6 linked regions of the Mus musculus genome follow. The protein of the gene in region 5 interacts with the protein of the main gene of each other region in a biochemical or structural test. Links are inferred from orthologs where the notes say so. Each region holds a gene or a part of one and is shown on either strand. Other genes may lie near its edges.

What was found.
Region 1: the proteins of Wdr5 (region 5) and H3f4 form a complex in vitro, tested with the Homo sapiens proteins (4 studies listed by BioGRID, with this or other methods). The link is inferred for Mus musculus from reciprocal best matches to the Homo sapiens genes WDR5 and H3-4.
Region 2: the proteins of Wdr5 (region 5) and Setd1a form a complex in vitro, tested with the Homo sapiens proteins (4 studies listed by BioGRID, with this or other methods). The link is inferred for Mus musculus from reciprocal best matches to the Homo sapiens genes WDR5 and SETD1A.
Region 3: the proteins of Wdr5 (region 5) and Kmt2c form a complex in vitro, tested with the Homo sapiens proteins (4 studies listed by BioGRID, with this or other methods). The link is inferred for Mus musculus from reciprocal best matches to the Homo sapiens genes WDR5 and KMT2C.
Region 4: the proteins of Wdr5 (region 5) and Setd1b interact in a test that uses a peptide from one of them, tested with the Homo sapiens proteins (3 studies listed by BioGRID, with this or other methods). The link is inferred for Mus musculus from reciprocal best matches to the Homo sapiens genes WDR5 and SETD1B.
Region 6: the proteins of Wdr5 (region 5) and Chd8 form a complex in vitro, tested with the Homo sapiens proteins (2 studies listed by BioGRID). The link is inferred for Mus musculus from reciprocal best matches to the Homo sapiens genes WDR5 and CHD8.

Annotation. Positions count from the first base shown.
Region 1 is NC_000077.6:58,960,388-58,962,773, reverse strand, and holds H3f4 (predicted gene 12260), read right to left. Parts: upstream 1,064-2,386; 5' UTR 963-1,063; coding exon 552-962; 3' UTR 501-551; downstream 1-500. UniProt on the Homo sapiens protein: Core component of nucleosome. Nucleosomes wrap and compact DNA into chromatin, limiting DNA accessibility to the cellular machineries which require DNA as a template.
Region 2 is NC_000073.6:127,776,015-127,780,188, reverse strand, and holds the start of Setd1a (histone-lysine N-methyltransferase SETD1A), read right to left. Parts: upstream 2,801-4,174; 5' UTR 2,676-2,800; intron 2,077-2,675; 5' UTR 2,062-2,076; coding exon 1,912-2,061; intron 1,684-1,911; coding exon 1,588-1,683; intron 1-1,587. UniProt on the Homo sapiens protein: Histone methyltransferase that catalyzes methyl group transfer from S-adenosyl-L-methionine to the epsilon-amino group of 'Lys-4' of histone H3 (H3K4) via a non-processive mechanism.
Region 3 is NC_000071.6:25,306,784-25,310,283, forward strand, and holds part of Kmt2c (histone-lysine N-methyltransferase 2C), read right to left. Parts: coding exon 2,817-3,500; intron 1,768-2,816; coding exon 1,656-1,767; intron 1-1,655. UniProt on the Homo sapiens protein: Histone methyltransferase that catalyzes methyl group transfer from S-adenosyl-L-methionine to the epsilon-amino group of 'Lys-4' of histone H3 (H3K4).
Region 4 is NC_000071.6:123,162,693-123,166,192, reverse strand, and holds part of Setd1b (histone-lysine N-methyltransferase SETD1B), read right to left. Parts: intron 3,043-3,500; coding exon of another isoform or gene 3,040-3,042; coding exon 2,908-3,039; intron 2,822-2,907; coding exon 2,702-2,821; intron 2,623-2,701; coding exon 2,485-2,622; intron 361-2,484; coding exon 187-360; 3' UTR 1-186. UniProt on the Homo sapiens protein: Histone methyltransferase that catalyzes methyl group transfer from S-adenosyl-L-methionine to the epsilon-amino group of 'Lys-4' of histone H3 (H3K4) via a non-processive mechanism.
Region 5 is NC_000068.7:27,513,814-27,517,946, reverse strand, and holds the start of Wdr5 (WD repeat-containing protein 5), read right to left. Parts: upstream 2,801-4,133; 5' UTR 2,667-2,800; intron 2,642-2,666; exon of another isoform or gene 2,195-2,641; intron 1-2,194.
Region 6 is NC_000080.6:52,216,261-52,219,760, forward strand, and holds part of Chd8 (chromodomain-helicase-DNA-binding protein 8), read right to left. Parts: coding exon 3,337-3,500; intron 2,057-3,336; coding exon 1,913-2,056; intron 1,712-1,912; coding exon 1,456-1,711; intron 193-1,455; coding exon 1-192. UniProt on the Homo sapiens protein: ATP-dependent chromatin-remodeling factor, it slides nucleosomes along DNA; nucleosome sliding requires ATP. Acts as a transcription repressor by remodeling chromatin structure and recruiting histone H1 to target genes.

The sequences.
Region 1 (2,386 bases), on a different chromosome or scaffold from region 5:
TAACACTTTCCTGACTCTTTTGCTGCCGCCGTTAACAGATGGGCAAAATTAACTTTAATCAAAGGCAGTTCACTGGGCTTTCCATCAGGAGAAAGGCCAACTTTTCAAGTACAGGAATAGCTAGCCTTTTTAATACCAGGCATTATGAGCCTTAAAACACAAAACATAAGTAACTTGGTTACTGAGCAGATGCGTTTGGATACTATCAACTATGCAAACATAGCACGTTTACTGCCGGTAGGAGCTACCTTCACTTGGTAAAACCAGTCAGCAACACAACCATCATCTTGTAGTACAAGGGCTCAGGCCACTATACCTATCAAGGGAAGGCAGGTTAGAATAGGACGGAGCTGCAAGTCAAATAGCTCAATGGGCAAGGATTAGCTGCTAAGCCCTCTAGACTGATCTGGGGAGACACTTCGATTGCCGGCCACCTTGTCTTCACCTCCTGAGGAGACAGGACACCTAAGTCTACGTTACAGACACTTTTTCTGACTCTGTGGGTGGCTCTGAAAAGAGCCGTTGGGTTCATGAGCGGTGCCTGTGGGAGCCTAAGCCCGTTCTCCGCGGATGCGCCGAGCCAACTGGATGTCTTTGGGCATGATGGTCACCCGCTTGGCGTGGATAGCGCACAGGTTCGTGTCTTCGAACAGCCCCACGAGGTACGACTCGCAGGCCTCCTGCAGCGCCATCACCGCGGAGCTCTGGAAGCGCAGGTCGGTCTTGAAGTCCTGGGCGATCTCACGCACCAAGCGCTGGAATGGCAACTTGCGAATCAGCAGCTCGGTGGACTTCTGGTAGCGCCGGATCTCGCGCAGCGCCACCGTGCCAGGGTGGTAGCGGTGCGGCTTCTTCACGCCCCCGGTGGCCGGGGCGCTCTTGCGGGCCACCTTCGTGGCTAGCTGCTTGCGCGGAGCCTTGCCTCCCGTCGACTTCCGTGCCGTCTGCTTGGTGCGTGCCATCTTCCTGAATCGTCCGCCTCCCTTGCTCCTCAGGTGCACAATGTGGGGGGCGAGTAGCACTGCTTTTATAGACCCAGCTACATTCCTATTGGCTGCCCACCAGGTGGCATTATGGGATGCTGCACTCTGATTGGTCCATTGGGGGATTGACTTTACACCCTGCCTCTTATATTCTCTCTGAGTGGTGTGGACTCTGGAACTGTTAGTTGCGGCTCGGTAGGAGGGCAGCGGGGTCTGTGGAAAAAACTCAAGTCGCTTTCTTGGAGCTTTTATTGTTGTTGTTAAATAAAAAAACAAAACAATCTTGCCTCGACTCCCAAGACACAAAGAACCTTCTAGAACCTTTCTGCATGCTTCCTTTATATAACAACGAGGCATAGTTTTCCTGAGTTCTGGAATACTAAAAAAACATCCACCTGGTCTGAGGACGCCCCTGGGGGCGAGGGCTGGAGGTAGCTCAGCAGTTAAGCTTAATTCCAGGACTCGGGAGGCAAAGGATGGTGGATATCTGTGTGTTTGAGGTTAGCCAGGGCTACATAGTATTAACACTATTTTTTAAAAATAGGGAGGGGTAGAGATGGAAAAAAATAAAGAGAAAAACGAAAAGAAATTGTGTCGTTTGCTGGAACAATGGAAAGAACTCAAGATCACAGTGTTAAGTAAGCTGGATCCAGGCAGGAAGAAAAGCATGGCATGGGTTCTCTAGCATGTGGAAGCTAGATTAAAAAAAAAAAAAAAAAAAAAGCATAAAAATGGGGTCGGGGTGGTATTTATAGAGAGAAAGGGACCAGAGGGAAGAGGAAAAAAAGGGGAGAGCTGGTGTGTGTGTGTGTGTGTGTGTGTGTGTGTGTGTGTGTGTGTGTGTGAAGTTATCAAAATGAAACCCATTACTAAGCACAGTTAACGTACGTTAATTAAAAAAAAAAAAAAACTAGAAGATATGACTCAAAGAACAGTAGTCCATGCTTATAACTTCAGTACTCGGTAGCTGAATCAGAAGGATAATAATTTTGAGGCTTAGAGTACACTGAAATGACGCTTTATCAAACAAAATAAAACATCTTTAGATCTGAAAGAAAATTAGGAAAAAAAAAAAAAAAAGGATTTCTGAAGCAAAGGCTTTCAAGGATAACATGGGCTGTATTCAAGGATTCCCCCAAAGGTCACAATCAGGGTATCAAACAATAGTAATAATGATTATTTAGATCACGTCAGAGGATGAGAAATGTCGTCCACATAATTTCAAAAAACGTGAGTCCAGAAAAGGATAGAAATCAAACTGTGGTGCATCTTTACGGATTTGGTTAAAAAATAGAACTCACTGACAATCATGGTGTTTTGCTTCCAAACGTGTATGTGTAGTTTAAACTGACGCCGGTGAACGCCAAAGCGGGGAATCCCGAGCCCGTGCCTGCGGTGTGCGG
Region 2 (4,174 bases), on a different chromosome or scaffold from region 5:
CAAAACAAGAATTAACATACATAGGACAAAGTAATAGAAGAAAGTAATCTATTAGTTCAGGGTTACAGACTAGCATAAGCTAATTACTAGAAACAGAAAAAAAGGAAAAGTTCCCATTCAGAAAAGAGACAAGACAGAGCCGAGTGTGCCGTGCACTCTTACAATGCTAGCACATGGGAGGCTGAAGCACAGGATTCTTAGTTCAAGGCCAGCGGCTACCTAGGGAGTACTTGTTTCAAAAAAAAAAAAAGATAAGCCAGATATAAATATAAATATAACACAGTGGTAGCAAAGATGTAGAGACAGGGTATTGGGGAGCCGCTATCATTCTTTCTGGACTCTGTAGATGCTTAAAGTTTACCAAAACAACAAACTTCCAAGACATGAAATTTATCCATCTTGATATTTTCTAAACACTGAAAAGTGTCTGGTGGAATATTACAGGGATATGGTGTCAAAGAGGTGATAAGGCCTGCCCAGATCAATAACCACACATGTCAATGCCTCAAAACAGACTTAGGATGCCAGCAATATGGCTCAGTAGGTACAGACACTTGTCACCAAGCCTGACAACCTTGAGTTTGACCACTAGGACCCATGATGAAAACCAATTCCCACAAGTTGTGCTCTAACTTCTACATGTGCACAATGGCATGCAAGCTTATTTATGAATGTACACACATGAAAAATAATATAATAAAAAAGAAAAACAGACTTGGAAAACAAAATTAAAATAAGAACATTAAAACCAGTGACAACAGCAAGATGGAGCCTAAAACTGAGGAAAGCTGCAGAAAGCGAGCAAACATCGGACTCTGCATGAAGAACATGGCAATGGAAACCTAAAGATTAAGACGAAAGGAAAGAACTACTGGGTGACTCCAGGCTTCCAGCTTGGGTACCCGAGTACCTGGTATTGCCATTCATCAGTCAAGAGGAAGTGAGGAGAGCAGGACTCAGGGAAGAAAGATGATGTTTTAGTGTCTCAGTAGATGCTGGCAGGAAGGAGGTATGAGACATAAACATTCAGACAGAAGAGCTTTCAGTAAAGCTGCTCAAGAAAGGGGGGATTCAGAAGGGTGAAGCCACTGCACAACTTACTTTACCAATAATCAGTAAAAGAAAACAAAAACAAAATTAGGAGGAGACAAAGAACTACCAATTTTCGAGACAGTCCGAAGTTTGAAGAATATCTTATTACAGTAGGGAAGCAAGCTGCTCGTACAGACAGGACAGAGGAGCACACACAATGACAGCAAGAACACACAACTCCAAGTGCACAGTGGTCTTAGCAGCATCCTTAATTGCTGAATAACTTGGCTATCCCACTGTCACAAGGCTTCAGAATACCCACCCATACCTCATCCTTCCAGACATCAATACCCTTGTCACCAGATATATACTAGAGTCACCTCAGCTATACATGTATACCTTCTGTCCAAAACATCTCAGTCTCACAGACACAAAAAGCAATGAGATCTGGCTGTCATAGTTCCTTCGGAATAAACACTTTGGTAGACTGTGTGAAGCCCAGGGTCCTTGACACTCTCCAAGGACCAACATGCAGGGAGACCAGCAGGCACTCACCTTAAACTTAGGAACCGGGAGGGAAAAGTCTCTGGCTTTGGACCTGACATGACAGCGGGGGTCCTGGAGGTCTTCCACGGGGGTATACTTTGAGTCCTAACAAAGAAAGCAGGAAGAGATGAAACCAGGCTGAAAATTCACCAGCCTACTGACTCTATAAAGCCCATGTAGAAGCCAACATACAGAAGAGCTGGGAGAGCTTGCTCATTCTCAAAAAACCAAACTACAGGTATAGGAAGTCTGGGTGTTGAATACTGAACAGGGGGAAGCGGGGAGGGGAGATTGGAGGTCCAAATAAGTCAAGAAAGGCTCGAGGGCACTCACACTGACACTGAAGTGGACTCCGTCATAGCGGTACACCTTCTGGGAAGGCCTGCGCAAAGCAGGGTCCAAAGCAGGATCCACTATGAGCTTGTAGTTCCGCCACTGGAAGCTCGGGGCTTTCTGCCCGTCTCCCCCACCTTCCTGGTCCATCTTTGCTCATTTACACTGTCAGGAAAAGAGGGATACGGAATGGGAGTCCACGACTTAGGCCTGACTCCCTTGCTGTCCCCTCAATGTCTAGCCCCGATTCCAGGGTCTCACATCAGTCCAGTCCCCGACACCTCAGCATGACCCGTGGCTCCCTCAGATCTTGCCCTGAGGAGCTGGGCTCACTATGGCACTCCATTCCTCTCCATCCCCAATTCTACCCTCAGGGCCCAGGCCCATCTCGCGCCCCCTTACCTTCCCGCTCTCCCCAGCGCGCCCCACTTGGCCTCCACGCAAGACCCCTCCCCCGTCCCCTCGCAGGCCCCGCCCCCTCCCGCCTCCTCACCGGCCAAGCGGCCCGGGCCGAGCCCCGCTCCCGCTCCCACACAGCCGCTCGCGTCCCCGCGCCCCGATCCTCCGAACCAGAGGTGGCACCTCTTCGGGGCGTTGGAAACACCGCGAGACCGAATCTGAGACCCAGCTTCGGTCCCTGAATCCAGGCGGGGGGGTGGGGGGAGGTAACGCGCGCCGCTGCCCTCTCCTCCCGCCCGGGCGCGTTCGGTGTCGTCCACCCCCCCCACCCCGTCGGCGCGCACGCGCGCCGGGGCCCTACTCACCCGCTCGTGGCGAGCGGCTCACCCTCCCCCCACCGCGCGCAGCACCTCAGCGGCGTGAGGCGGCGGCGGCGGCGGCGGCAGCGCGAGACCCGGCCCCGCAGCGGTGGCGGCGGCGGCGCCCCCCCACCACCACCTCCCCGGCGCGCGCACCAAACACCACCGCCACCTGCGCGAGGCCCAGCGGGCACAGCGTCTGCATCCGCACTTTCGCTACAAGGACTGCGGAGCGATCCACGGGGCCGAGGGTAGCGGCCTTGCCTCGGCCGGCGCCCTGCGAGGCTCGGGAGTTGTAGCCCAGGGAGCCTGAAGATGGGCCGCATTCCCCGGAGAGTGGACCGCACCACCCTGATCCAGCTGCTCCGGCCTTGGGGTTCCTGGCGAATCGGCGGCGACGAAAGCTGCGACGAGCCCCTGAGGGAAGGGGGCGGAGCGAGGGGGAGGACGCCAGCCAGAGCTCGGGAGATTTGAGTGGCGCGTCCAACGACGCAGATTCGCGAGGCGGGCGGGGCGAATGAGTGGACAGGATGCGCGCTCCTCGGCTCCTCTTCCCTGCCCCTTCCTTGCGCAGCCCGAATGCCTATGAGGCTGCAGTGCAGATTCGCCACCGTCCTGGGCTTTGGCCGTCACCTCTTCTCACCTGCTGTAGAGTCAAGAAAATGACGCCTGGCTCGCCAAGCCCTGTTGGCAGAGTCGACCTCTAGTCCTGGATTTTTTTTTTTTTCAGTAGAACGACTCAAGGAACAGCACACTTCCTACTTAGTGCGAAATGGTTACAAGGAAGAAGTCTTCTCGGCGTTTCCTGAAAATTTTCAGACAAGAAAAGCTGCCCAAATAATCCTAAGGAGTCGGGTAGCGAATCTGCCGATCCGGTTGTGGGCGGGGCTAACGAGAGAGGCGTGGCCAGGCGTGCGGAGCCCGGCGTAACGGGCTGCTTCCCTTAGAATCCACCAAAACCTGGGAGGGGTGGGAGGTGGAAAAATACAACCAGGAGGGGTGACTCAGGCGCTTTGCCTACCGACGCACAGAGTGAAATGATCGGTTCCTTCCCGCTTTTATATTCGGGCTCCTGTTGTTTTTCAGACAGCATGACATCGAACTTGCTATATAACGGAGGATGGCCTCGAACTCCAGATCCTTTTGCCTCTATTTCCTGAGTACCGGAATTACAGGTGTGCACACCATAACCGGTTTATAGCATGCTGGGAGATCTAACTCAGGGCTTTCTGCGTGTTAGGCCAGTACCCTAGTTACACCTCCCTTGGGCTAGTTTTAAAATGTTCCTTCTGAGCCGAGCAGTGGTGGTACACGTCTTTAATCCCAGGACCTGGGAGGCTGAGGCAGGTGGATTTCTGAGTTGGAGGCCAGCCTGGTCTACAGAGTGAGTTCCAGGACAGCCAGAGCTACACAGAGAAACCCTGTCTCAAAAAAAAAAAAAAAAAAAAAAAAAAAAAAAATGTTCAGTGGTTAAAATCAGGGTTCTGTTGAGCTTAAAAGAAACA
Region 3 (3,500 bases), on a different chromosome or scaffold from region 5:
ACACAATTTCAAAATAGATCCAAAAATATTATAAAGAAGCATTTAAATGTTATTAGACTTTAGAGTGTATACTTGTGATTTTTTTTTCCCTCAGAAGTTTGATTCATTAATCTCCCTTCTCCCTACTACAGCTCTGGTACAAAATAATCCCAATCCGATTAATGCTTGCTCTCTGCCATCATCATGTAACACACTACACTAATCTCAGAAGGCACTACCTTAGTTCTGCAAAGAACTCAGAATGGTCTCCAGTACACTTAGCATGTGGCTGATAAAGCATTGCATGTCTAATGAGCACAGACACTTATGTTGAACATATATGAGATGCTGAGAGTTCTGATTCTGAGGCCCATGAAAACAATTAAGGATCAAACAAAATCTAGCATTTCCTTGACTCTGAGTATCAAGTTAAAATACAGTATTATTTATTATTTATCACAGTATTATTTATTAATACTATACTCTCACCAGTAGGAAACATGATTTTCCTACAAGTGTTGCACATTCATAGTAGGTAATTACCAATCTTTACCTTGTTATAAAATATAAAACTTAGAGCTAAGTTTGTTAATGCATTATGATACACACATATCAAGAATATAATCAGAGATTATTAACTATGTTACAAATGTGGTCTATTTCTTTTTGAATTTGTATTTTTATTACCTGTATATCTGAAAAGAATTTCAAAGGTTTCATGGTTTTAAGGTTAAAAAGGCTTATGCCATAAAGTTACCTTGAGGGAAGAACAGTGCTAATAAATCCAGCTAGGTAGTAAAAATCTTTACAAATCACTATCTTTACTTTGACATCAAAAATGTGTCTTAATCATACTCAGTGTATTACACAGTTCCCTAAAGCCTATGTCTATATCTTCAACTTATACAATTCTATATTAAATTCTACAATCATTTGCACTCCCTATTATAATTTTTCAACAAGATCATCACAATAAATTGAGATCAGAAATCAGAAACAGCAATACAACACAAAGATCATTCAAGGTACTTGTCAAAAATACAAGCATTCAGACACCATTCCTAGAAAATCCCATTCACTAGGTCTGTAGAAAGGTATAGAAACTGCATTTAAAAGTGTAGTGATGGGGGCACACAAATAATCCTTAAGTTAGAAAGTGATCAAGATTCAGCACTTCACTGGGGTACACAGCCACTGTAACTTAACGATTACTCATCTCTAATATCTCTCTTGAACACACAATTTCCATTTTTCTGTTAGATGTTAAAATTATCCAACTATCCCAGTCTCAGTATCCAAATGTTCCATAAATTACTGTTTTGCCTTTTCTAATTCAAAGTCATGTTGGGACAATTTCATTTCAGAGCTAAATTGATAATTTCCTTAACCACTGAAATTCTTGAATGAAAATCTTAGGCTAACACTTCTTTAAATAAAAAAGTAAACACACACAAACAGTTTGGATTTCCTCACTGACCAAGTCAGTCTTCCTAATGTTTGAGTGGTATATTATTCTGTTTATTTTCCCTAAAATGAAAGGAAATTAATTCCCTGCATTCAGCTGAATTGAAATACTCTTTACAACCAGAAGGTAGGCTTTTGAGGAGCTCTAAGAAGTAGGGGTGTTTTTATGTACATCTACATGCCAGGAAGAAAAAAAAAGCACTTCTACCTACCTGCTCATCACCATTGGTGGCATGCCCAGACTGTTCTGTGCCATCACTTTATTTATGCCTTTAAGGGCTACCATTTTCGCTTTCATTATAGGATCTGTAATAGCATCAAAATCTAAAGAAGAAATGTATTTTGACATTACTTACTTCATAATTTAAGTTCATGGCTCAAGATATATGAAGTGGTAAAATTAAGTATCACAATTACATAATTTATAAATTCTTATACCTTATTCAAGAATCATTATATGTTTCTACACCACATAAGGGAATCTAGAAATGGTAGCTGCATTTTAGGTGTCTATAACTGAAGCATACTTTAAAACAAGTCTGTCAGTCTACAGGGGATCACAACAGTGATGTTCAGCAACGAGAGTCCCAGTGGCTCAAACCTTCACAGTGCCAATTAGAATGATCTTTTTTAGTAATGGACTGAAAGGAATGAGAATTTACAGTTATTTCCAATACTAAAGAATCCCTCTAAATTAGTTATCAGTTTTTAAAAGAAATAAAAAACTACCAATATCTCCAGGATATACCTACAAAATAAAAGTATGAGGATAGTGAGAGCATCTCTTTGCATACATATAAGTGGGAAAAAAGAGTCAAATAATGGAATTTGTACCACATGTTGATACAATGCTTTTTGTTATTAGTTAGAAAAAAATACTCCTCAGATATATGCCTGCTGACTTAATTCTTCTAGGCAAAGCACTGAAGTGTTTGGGTTACATGGACTTGTGTTTTTATTAAAACTAATAAAACAACAAAAATAAGTTGAAAGATGTGTCTGTGGGGGATTAAAAAAAAAACCCTAAAATGCAAAAAACCTTTACCAAACACTTGTGCACAAAAGAACAAGAAACTTTATTTCTATCATAATTTCCTTACATTTATTTCTCATAACAATTGGCAGATAAAACTAAAACCACCATCAACACCATATAAAGCAGAACTGAGTGAGGTAACAATTCAAGGTTATCTTAATTTTGACTGACCTGGAAGGAATCTAAAATTCATCTTTTCATTGTAAAGACCCGAGAAGACAGAAAATTCTCAGATTACACTGATCCAAATGTAATCTCAATAATGAAAATTTACAAGCATGCTGCATGTACTCAGATGCCCCCAGTAACTTATTTTGAGACAGAAGGAATTTCCTACCAATGTTAGGGAAGAATGGTTCTGACCGCTGACGAATCATGGCTTGCATTTGTCTTTGCTGTTGCTGCTCCTGCCTCTCTTGATCCAAAAGATCTTGTAGAAGCAGAGGCTGTTCCTCTAGAAGGAGGGGCCTCTCTCTGTTCTGCTGGGCTAATGTTTGAGGAATCATGAGCTGCTGCGGTCCAGACATGGTGCTGGACTGATTCGTGAGAGGCACAGTTTGATTTGTAGGTTTCCCTGTCCCTAAATTATGGTTCACTGATGATTGGCCCTGAATGAATCCTGGATTTACTGGCACACCCTGAGAAAAAGCATGGTTTATCCTAGGGACCACTGTTACATTAGAATTCACGGTATTATCCAAAAGAGGGCTAGGTGGTACTATTAAAGTAGGAGGCAAACTTGACCCATGAGTGGATGGTGAGATGGGCAGACTTGGTGGGGAGGACCCTGAAGGCCTAATGTCTGAATCATCACACTTCTCATTAGAAAGTAAACTCGAGAGAACTGGAGTCGATCCTGTTATGTCACAGGAGTTCATCACATCCCGAGCAGGCAGAGGAGTGGACCCTTGAATGGCACTGACAACAGGCCCAGCATTCTCCTGGTTACATCTTTTCTCAAGCATATCTTGATCAGTAGTCAATAGAGCAGTCTTTCCTCTGTCACTGTGATTGGTCTGAG
Region 4 (3,500 bases), on a different chromosome or scaffold from region 5:
TTCCCGCTGCGGGGCTGGGGCTGCGGGTGGGTCCTGGGATAGTGTTGGGGGCGCCAGGCCCTAGTGCGGCTGCTGGGGATAAGGACAGCACCTGAAGTGGGTGGGGGTGTGTGTGGAGCCTGGCCCAGGGCGAGCGAGGGTTCTCCTGGGCTACGGCTGACATCCTCGGCCTTTGGCACGCGGGGACTAATTGAGGGTCCCCCGGCAGTTCTCGGAGCCACAGAGGCAGGGGATCTTGACATCTTCGATCGGGAACTTGTAGTCGTACGTGATCTCCTCGTTGACGTTGATGTGCTGCTTAGAGTAGATGACGATCTTCTTCTGGGACTCCACCGTGATCACCTTGGCGTAGCAGTTGGGCTGCAAGACAGGGTGGTGATGCGGTTAAGACGGGGTCGGGATCTTGGTCAAAAAGAAATTTTTTTTAAAACCCCTCAGTTTAACAGATTTTGCAATCCATCCAGCCTTGTGGTTTTATGCCTGCTCTTAAGTGAACATTGGCATCGCTCAAAGAAGGTTCAATGTTGAACATAGCAGTCATCTAGGATGATAGAGCAAAGCCGAGTGAACTGGAACTGTTAAACTTAATTCCTAGCTTTTCTCTAGTTACTGTAGGATGTACGTAAGCAGTAAGTGTATTTAGGTTAAAGCAGTTGAATTATGTTAAATGTTGCTCTTATACATACATTGAACACTGTTGATGCATGTTGAAAAAACATGCTTTTTTGTAAAACTATAGGAGCTGCGTCTACAATTAAAGTGATACATTTGGCATGTTTGTTAATTCTTTTTTTTTTTTTTTTTTTTTTTTTTTTGGTTTTTCGAGACAGGGTTTCTCTGTGTAGCCCTGGCTGTCCTGGAGCTCACTTTGTAGACCAGGCTGGCCTCGAACTCAGAAATCCGCCTGCCTCTGCCTCCCGAGTGCTGGGATTAAAGGCGTGCGCCACCACGCCCGGCTATGTTTGTTAATTCTAAATTCATTTGATAACCTGTAAGGCACGTGAGTTTAAAGCTCTTTTTTTTATTTTTAAGTTAATGGAGAAGTTTTAAGAGACAATACCATTATTTTTTAGGATTTTTGGTCTTAGTGTTTGTATGAAATTCTGAGGCCTTGATTTAAGTCTTTCATTGTATTGTGATTTCTTTTTAGGTGTATTGCGCTAAGTGAACCTTGTCAAATAAATCTTCCTTTTAAAAGCTAAAAAAAAAAAAAAAGACGGGGTCGGGAGCCCCAACCCAATCCTCGCCATGGAGTTATAGAAGCCAACTCGTGGGTATCAGCTCCACGAATGGCTCTCCGGCTAGCTCCTCCCATGACCAGTACCAAATAAAAAAGATGCGGAGGCCAGAGAGAGAGAGAGATGGCTCAGAAGTTAAGAAGACTTGCAATTCTTGCAGAGGACCTAAGTTTGGTTCCCATCCTCCATGGGGTGGCTCACTACTATCCCCTAACTCCTCAGTCAGGTGCCCTCTTCAGGCTCCTCTGGGTACCAGGAACACATGCAGTGTATGTACATACATACATACATACATACTAGTAAAACATCCACACACGTTTAAAAAACAACTAAGTCTTTAAGAAGGACCACAATTCTTCCTCATCAGACATACTGCAAGAGAGGCCTGAATCTTTACTTCTACTCAAGTGTCATTTCTGAGCCCTCGATAAGGGGTCTATAAATGGTAGGCCCTACTTGCCTGCTTTAGTAAATAAAGTTTTATTGGCACAGTCTTGCTGTTTTTCATTGGTCTATCACTTGTGGAGAGCAAGGTAAATAGTTACTACAGAGATCAGCAAGCTCACTTCACTAGGAGCCTGAAGCCAAAATCCTCCCCAAGTCCTCCCTCTCCCCAAGTCTCCCTTCTAGCTGGCTCTGGCTCCTCCCCATCATGTCCCTACTTCTGTCACTATCACTCACCTGGTTGGCATCAGTGCTACAACACTGTCTCCCTAGCCTGCAGCTCCCTAGATTCGCTCGGAGAATTCTGTTCCCACCTCCCCAGCACGGGTACCCCACCACACCCCTTTTATGTGGGTTCTGGGGGCTGAACTCAAGTCTCTGTGCTTGCAAGAGACTTGCAAAACCAATTTACCGAGCAATGAGACCAATTACCATCTTGTGTTATCTTGGCTAGTTCAGAGCTCACTATGTTGACCAGGCTAGCTCGCAGAAATTCACCTGCCTCCATCACCTAAATGCTGGGTTTAAAGGTGCGCACCATCACACCTGGCCTCAGCCCACCTCTTGGACACCTTCCGTCTTTCATATGACTCCAGAATTCCTACTGCGCCCATTGTACAGACATAACAACTGAGCTCAAGAGAAAAGCCCCTTATTCAGGCTTCTCATCTCCTCTCTCCCTCCCTGTCACCTGTGGGTCAAATGAAGCCTGGAAAGGAGACTGAACACGATTGCAGTGCCTGAGTTCCTGGGGTCCTCAGTACAGAGGTGGGGACACCCCGGTCCCTCACTGGGCACTTACATTGCAGCTGTGGTTAATGAAGCGTGCAAAGTTGCCGCACTTGGTGGCGTCGATGATGGTGTCATGGTCTACTCTGAACATGTAGCTGCTACCGATGCCTTCATCCTCATACCGTTTCTCCCTCATGTCCGCAATCACCTGGTGGTAGAAAGAGCCTTAAGTCTGGGCCTGCTCCGTGCCCCTGCCACCCCTCACCAGCGCCCTGGGCAGCACCTACCTGGCGGATGTTCTGGCCCACGTACTCGATGACCATCTCGTCAGCAGCAATTGGCTCCATGGCAAACAGGCCCCAGTCGTGAATGTGGCTCTTACAGAATTTGAGCTTCTTCTTTCGAAACTAGGGGACACGGGAGGGAGGGACAGGATTTGTGAGGACTCAGGTCCCACACTGACCTGGCTGCCCCGGAGGAGGTCTAGCCTCACCTTGAGCTGGTTGAACTTGAGCAGGTCGCTGTCACAGCTGCCGGTGAAGGAGGACAAGAGGCGCCTCTGCTCAGACCGCCGCTCTGAGCCTGCCCGAGTAGAGGCATGGGGCTGGGCTGGGATACTCATACCCTGCTGGCACAACGGGGGATGACAAGTCAAAAAGGGACAGACAAGGCCCTGTCACACCCTCTCTGGATCTGCCCCCGCCTCCTGGCTTCAGGAGGCTTAGAGCATCTGTCTTCCTATCAGTCTCCTTTGTTTGTTTTGGTTTCTTGGAGGCAAGGTTTAAGGTTTCTCTGTAGCCCTGGCTGTCCTGGAACTCTTTCTGTAGACCAGGCCTGCCTCTGCCTCCTGAGTGTTAAAGAACTATGCCGTCTCTGGGTTGGAGAGATGGCTCAGTGGTTAAGAGCACTGACTGCTCTTCCTAAATTAAATTTCCAGCAACCAGATGGTGGCTCACAATCATTTGTAATGGGATCTGATGCCCCCTTCTGGTGTGTCTCAGGACAGCTACACTGTACTTATATAAACAAAATAAATAAATAAATCTTAAAAAAAAAAGTGCACTGCCACCACCCACCTCCTATCAG
Region 5 (4,133 bases):
TTCAAATCCCAGCAACCATATGGTGGCTCACAACCACCCGTAATGAGATCTGATACCCTCTTCTGGTGCGTCTGAAGACAGCTACGGTGTACTTACATATAATAAATAAATAAATAAATAAATAAATAAAAGAATAAAAAGGAGAAACACGACCACCACATTGAACCCTCCAACAAATCAACTGTCCCAAGCTGGGGATAACTGTCACCCTATCCCAGGGCTGACGCTTCAGACACTCTGTGTGATGGCCTAGGCTTCCCACTGTAGCAGACAGGTGTATACAGGGATGTGAGTTTGCTTCAAAGAGCCCTTGACACAGTATTTAAAAGGCTTTCTAACAGAAACAACAGGCCAAGTAACAGGAGGTAGACTTTCTGTGCACAAGTCTGTGAACTTACCCAAATTCTAAAATACACCCAAATAATTTGACGAAACACAGTGGCCTCACCTCCTCAGTGGCTCCCTGTGACCTCATAAACTGCAACATGCCTTTAACAATACCTAGAGCTTACAGAGCACAGGGACTCAGTGCACAAAGTACTACCGAAAGCGCTCCAAGAATAAAACAGAGTAGTCACTGCCCCCATGTGAAAGAAACCTCTGGGGGAGCAGCACAAACAACAGCAGATAAGCTGCAGGTCTGAGGGAAAGTAGTTATTCCAGTCAGCTGGACAGACTCAGCCTGAACATGTATGCAACTGCAACAGTTTACTGCAGTTTACAGGAGGGCCCATCACCTGCACGCATCCAGAAAAGCACACCACCTGACTGGGAAATGAGCTAGTACTCCTCTAACGGAGAGCTACTGAGACATTCCTCAGCCATCAATGTAAGGAGCAATCATAATGTAAAGTCTGGCTTTGAGGTTAAACCTGAAACCTCACATGGACCCCCACATAAGACTAAGATGAAAGGACACCAAAAGAGAACAATGCCTCAAAGTCTTCAATCCTAGAGGAAAGAACAGGAACACCATGCACCACACAGGTGCAGCCAAGCTGTTTTACCTGCAGCCATCTCCATCAAGGTCAAATCCGCTGTAGCTCAAGCCCAGGTGCAAGGATCAGACTAGGGTAGGTCCCAGGGGCCTCTCCACAAACAAAGCTCTTGTGCCCAGGAAATACCAGCTGCTTGGTGCTTTTAGCTTTTTGGAGACAGGGTCTTGCTATGCACTGGTATTAAAAAACCAGTCTCAAGCTTGGTATGGTTGGTGTAACAGGCATAAATCAACTACCAGGCCTGACCTGGTGCTTATTCTTAATGCAACTATGGCCATGAGTTCCCATAGCAACCACTTTTGTGGACCATACAGGTAGCAACAGGAGCTGAGACTTAAGTAATGAAAAGGGCTAGAAAGTCTCTTTCAACCAGCATCTCATCTCCCTACTCCAGTGAAATGAAAGGCCAACAGTGTAGGGCAGATCTATCTCCAGTGTGGGAAGTCTCTAGGAACTAAGCTTCTTTTAGCATATAAAGAGATTCACCTAACAGCAGGTGGATGACCTTGCCAACAAGCACACCACCACCCAGCCCTGCCCATCACATCGTTAATAAGCTGGGTCTTTCAGGAAGACAAATATTAACATCTGAAGACACTAGTTGTAGCACCACCCACTTTAATTCCAGCTCTAAGGATGAAGAGCTCTAAGGATGTGGGCCCCAAACAACCAACCAAAAAACAAAAACAAAAACGGGGAAGAAAGAAAGAAAGAAAGAAAGAAAGAAAGAAAGAATATCAACATTAGCCAATCTGCCTCACAGCATTCAGGAGGCTCAGGAATTCAAAGCAGTTAAATGTGAGGCTAGCATCAACCTGAAACCGGCTCAAAGGAGACCACCACTTTCCAATTCCACAGGGTAGAGTCCAAGACAGAGCACTCAGGAAAGCAGGACTTGGGGAGGGCAGGTCTGGGAGGAAGCTGGGTTAAGCAGGATCCTCAGCAGGTGGTTTGGAGCTGGCCTCCACTGCCCACAAAGGAGGTAGGTAACCGGCAGCCGCAGCCGGGGCTTTACACTAGAGTGAGCCTGACTATGGAAGGGCAGCAGCCATCAGTCTCCCTCCAGTCAAATGTAGACTCCTGGTTTCCACCCTAGTACACAAGTATGGGAAGACAGAATGGTTCAGTCACTCAGGTGAGTGCAGTAGGTAACCCAACAAAGAACTCCAACCCATCCTCTCTGGGCTCCTAGATACCTAGGTACTAGTAGCCTTGGCTTCACACCACTGTGCGCTCAACTGCCCGGCTGTCCCGGACAATGTTCAGAAACCCTTGACCGGTCAGCCCTAGTCAGGTAGAAACTTGCGCTAGGACACAAATGAGGGTTGTGCCCGCAGCACGAGAGGCGCCAAGTGGCCAAGGAAACCTGCGCGACGCTGGCTGGGTGTCCCCGATGAGACAGAGAATTCCACTCCCAGTGACGCCAGTCTGAGGTGTGAGTCTCGAGAAGCTCGCAGGACTAAGGGTCTAGGGGCGTAGCAGGGGCCGCAGTGGAAGTAGCGGGCCGTGGCGGCCACAAGGGGCGGCGGGGTCGGGGCGCGGCCGCAAATGCGGCGTCCGGCCCGGCCCGAGGCCCTCGGAACACGTGCGGCGCTGTGGAGCCCGGAGCCCGAGGGCCCTCGTGGCCGCCGCTCGCCTCGCGCCCGCGGGACCGGGTTTCTCGCTTACCTGCCGGGGCCGCGGCGGCGGGGCCGGGCGCTCTGGCGTCGCGTCGGCTAGCCCTACGCGCGAGAGCAGACGATCTGCTGGACTAGGCGGCAGCGGCGCGGGAGGCGGGAGGGATTGCGCGTGCGCGAGGGGCGGGACAACGGGCGGCGACGAGGGTCAGAAAAACTAGAGGAGGCGGAGCGCCTTAAAGGGGCCGTCTGTGGTTCTCGCTTCCTATTTGACCGCTACTGGTGTTCGGTAACTGCAGACTGGAGCACTCTAGAATTAAAGATGGGTGAGAACGTGCTTAGGTGCCTCTCCTGTTATTCTAGGCTGTGTAGCCAAGCTAACAGTTACAATTTGCCTGTGCTGGCCCGTGCCTGCCCAGGACTGTTGGGAAACCTCTTGGTGCCACTGGTGGATGTCCACGAGGTCCGGAAGTCCGGAGCTCCTGCGGCCTCCCCAGCCTACCGCAAGGCGGGGGGCTTCCTGCCGCTGCAAACCACAGCTCAAATTGAACATACTTGCCTCTCTTCTACAGGGCCATAAGGAGGCTACGCTGTACCACCACCACCACCCCACACAGACACACTCCGAAAAAGGTCTTAGGAGCTACCGCTGCAGGGAGAGATCTACAGTAGTGTCCAGGGAAGGCAGGGCACTACTGTAGAGAAGGAAGCCTGCACGCTGACAAGAGAGGAGCTACCTGACTTAGAAGACAAACAAGAAAGAATGTGGACAGGAAAGGCAAGTGTCCCTAACACAGGGGCTCCAAGTCCTCCAGCTATGCATGCATCTGGAACGATGCAGTTGCACCTGAATGTAGGCTCAGGCAGTTCACATTCCAGGCAGCCACAGCATCCACTACAATCTGGCTCCTGTGTGGCTCTGGAGCTCCATTTTAAAGGCTTTATCTCATTTTCACAAGACAGCCCCTAGCAGGCTGGCCGGCCTGCAGTTAGCAAAGTTTTGACAGCCCTCTTTCCTGTTGGACCACCTCTACTCCTGTCACTAACGGGGAAAACACCCAGAGAGGAGGACACAGGGACAGAAGGAGAACCTGGAGCCAGGTCTGCACCTCTCACTTCACTGTCTAACTCACATGGTCTTAGACTCTTGGAGGTGGCTATGACCTGTGCAGCCTCATCTTCCAGTCTGGGAATATCAAATATAACGCGTGGGGAACCTGTGCAGAGGGAGGGACTAAGCAACTGAAGCTTGAGAATGGAGAGTGTGTGGTTGCCATAGCTACAAGAGTGTGAGAAGACTGACATTGGCCTGGAATCTCCTGCTAAAGGCACAGAAACAGTTCAGACGAATCTGTGTGTCTAACAGACCTATGCCAGGAGCCCTGGATGGAGTGGAGCATGGGATGGTAAGAATAACATCTCCGTATCTGCCTAGCTAACCGGACTGGAAACCAAACCTAATCCTCTGCCACCCACCTCTCAGATAACATTCAAACCTGTCCACCTCCATCCTCATCCC
Region 6 (3,500 bases), on a different chromosome or scaffold from region 5:
CCTCCAGAATGTCTAGACAGCGTACCATCTGGGAGAAGATCAGAACTTTATGGCCACCAGCTTTAAGCTTTGGAAGTAACTTGTCAATGAGAACTAACTTGCCAGCTGACCGAACCATAGCCTGCAGGTGGAAATCTTGAGGTATAATATGGCAAGCTTCCCGAAATTCCATCAGGATTTTCTCTTCTGCACCTGCAAATAAAATAGACAAAGTTAATGTTGGGAATAAGTAAAACATATAGTCTTATTTAAGACAGTGGCTTGAAGTAAATAGTCAAAGAAAAGAATCATGATCTCTTTGTAGTTGTCCCCTCTTCCACAGCACAGGGTTTCTCTGTGTGGCCCTGGCTGTCCTGGAACTCACTTTGTAGACCAGGCTGGCCTCAAAACTCTCAGTAATCCGCCTGCCTCTGCCTCTGGAGTGCTGAGATTAAAGGCATGCGCCACCACACTCACTTAAGTAGTATGATCTTTTACCTTTCCTTCCTTCCTCCCTCCCTCCCTCCCTCCCTCCCTCCCTCCCTCCCTCCCTCCCTCCCTCCCTCCCTCCTTCTCTAGACAGAAATGCATGCATACCAGCACTTGCATTCCCATGTGAATTTGAGCCCAGGAGCATGCCCAAGTTCACTAGGAAGTCAAACTAGGATGTCAGGTGTTCTGCTCTACCATCCTCTGTCACCTTCTACTGACAGAGGGTCTCATATGAAACAACCTGGAGCTAGTCCAGCTCCTAACATACCCAGAAGTCCTCTTATTTCTACCCCAAGAGGCATTTAAGATGTGAGTGGCCATGCCCAATTTTTCATATGGGTACTGGGAATTCAAATTCAGGTCCTGATGCTTGTGCAGCAAATGCTCTTGTCCATCTCCTTTTAACAATAATATCAACATTTCTTACAGAAAGTTCAGCAAGAAAATATCCAAACTAATCTATTTTTCTATACAACACATTCTAAGGCAAGGCTTTCCTGAATAACTGAATTTTAAGAACACATAAATAACAGACAAGAACTAAAATGGAACATACCTGTTCCCCTACCCCAAATCCAAAATGAAGTACAAGAAATTTTACCCAGGACAAAGAATAACTTGAGTTCTTAGTCATGAAATTGTACATAGAAAATCGTATTCAATTTGAGGGACTATGTAAAACCAAGGAAACAGAAGTGATAAGAGAGGGTGGTTGGCAAGACAGCTCAATAGATAAAGGTGCTTGCTGTGTAAACCTGGCAGCCAGAGTCTGATCCCTGTGACCCACAGGAACGTAGAAGGAGAGCAGACTTACAATACCGTCCTCTCAACTCCACGTGTGCTGTGGCACTCCTACACACACACACACACACACACACACACACACACAAAATACTAAGAGAATCCTTTCCTAAACCACTGCGCCTAATTCCTAGTTACGGTTCAGTCAACACACGGCTCTCTTTAAGACTTTGAATTCCTCACCATTGATGAGGTACGGGTGATTGCAGCACTTTCGTAGCTCCATCATTGTGTTCAGTAGATTAGGCATATTGGTATGACCTGCCCCTTTGGAAAGGAAGGAGAAATTCTTCTCTAAAATAGCTCTGTAGTATTTCTTCTGGATGTTGGTTAGCTCTACTTCAATAATAGTTTCCTGTTTGGGAGCCAAATTTTTTTCAACATCCTCTTTGAGTCTCCTCAGCATCATTGGCTTTAGAATGGCCTGAAGCTTTTGAACCTGTGGTTCATTATAAAGAGGAAAAAAAAAATCACTCACTTTACATTGTATCATAAAGAGAAAAAGAAACAAATAAGATTATATGGAAACACAAAAAAATAGTTTCCCACTATCTCAAGACTACAGATAATGTCACAAGTGATATGGGCAAAACCTGAGGAAGGCCCAAGGTAATCATAGCTTATCAGACAGGTGGCTTACCTGCTCCTCGGTCTTGAGATCCCCAAAATCCTTAAGGAATTCTGATTCTGAGGGGAACTGAGAAGGTTCCAAGAAATGCAGTAGACTGAACAGTTCCTCTACGGTATTTTGTAACGGTGTCCCTGTGAGTAACACTTTATGCTCCTGTAAGCGAGAAGAGAATGTGCAGAAACCCCATTAAGGATACAGTTAGTTTTAGTTTATCTACTGGTAATAGATCAGATTTCTGTCTTAGCTTTTCTTTTTTTTTTTTTTTTTTTTGTGGGGGTGGGGGAGGTTTCGAGGCAGGGTTTCTCTGTATAGCCCTGGCTATCCTGGAACTCACTTTGTAGACCAGACTGGCCTAGAACTCAGAAATCCGCCTGTCTCTGCCTCCCAAGTGCTGGGATTAAAGGCGTCTGCCACCACGCCCAGCTCAACTTTTCTTTTTCTTGCTTACTTATTAACAAAAACCATTTAAGAAATGCCCTTATCTAACATATTGAAACTAAATACTGACTTAAGCCAAATAAAGTACTAGTGACTCAGATTACATTATTTCTAAATTCATGTCTCTCCATATTCAACTATGCAAAGAAATCCTAATATGTCTCTCTGTAAAATGTTTCCATAGTGGACTAAAGAAACTGTAGTTTCTTGAAGTAAGGTTCACCCCCTTGAATTCAGGCTTCCCTTTTGGCTAGCTCTGACAAAAAGAATACACCTTGAGTCTCATAGCTCAAGGCCACTTGACCCTTTTCAATATGGAAATACAGAAAAATAGTTTCCCAATATCTGAAGACTACAGATGATGCCACACGTGATATGGGCAGAACCTGAGGAAGTGATCTGAGGAAGTGATCTGGCCTGATATCACTTTGTAGAGAAGCCCACCTAATCTGGCCCACTAGAAGGTTTGAGGCCATGTGCCATACATATAAGTGCTCCAAAGAATAACTAGTATCAACAGCCGAGTGCAGCAACATTAATAACCCAGGAAAGGTTGGGTGCGGTGATCCCAGCACTGGGGAGGCAGAGGCAGGAGGATCTCTGAGTTTAAGGCCAGCCAGGTCTAAAGAGTGAGTTCCAGGACATCCAGGGCTACACAGAGAAACCCTGTCCCAAAAGACCAAATCAAACAAACACCTAGGAGAGACTATATGAATATGGCCCAAATGGTTCAATTAGAGAATCATGAAAAACAGAGTTGTTGTTTTAGATATGAATCTTTGGGGTAGGTAACTAAGGCATATTTCCATTGCTCCTTGTGACTAAGAAGCACCCATTCATAATTCATTTCCAAACCGAAAACTTAAGACGTTTACACGATCTCCAGGGCCCTTAATATAGGTTCCATTGTTCTCTGCTAAGTTAGAGCAATTTTCATTTCACAGGGAAATCAGATTCAATTTCAGAGTGTCTACAAGTCATCTTAGGAAACTCACCAGGTCCATGTGCTTGAGACTATCAAGTAGCTTGCAATTACGGTTCTTCAGCCTATGGGCTTCATCAATGATAACACAACGCCATTCAATTTCACGAAGCTCAGGACAGTCTGACAAAATCATCTCAAAAGTGGTGATCAAGGCATCAAACTTATATGCACCAG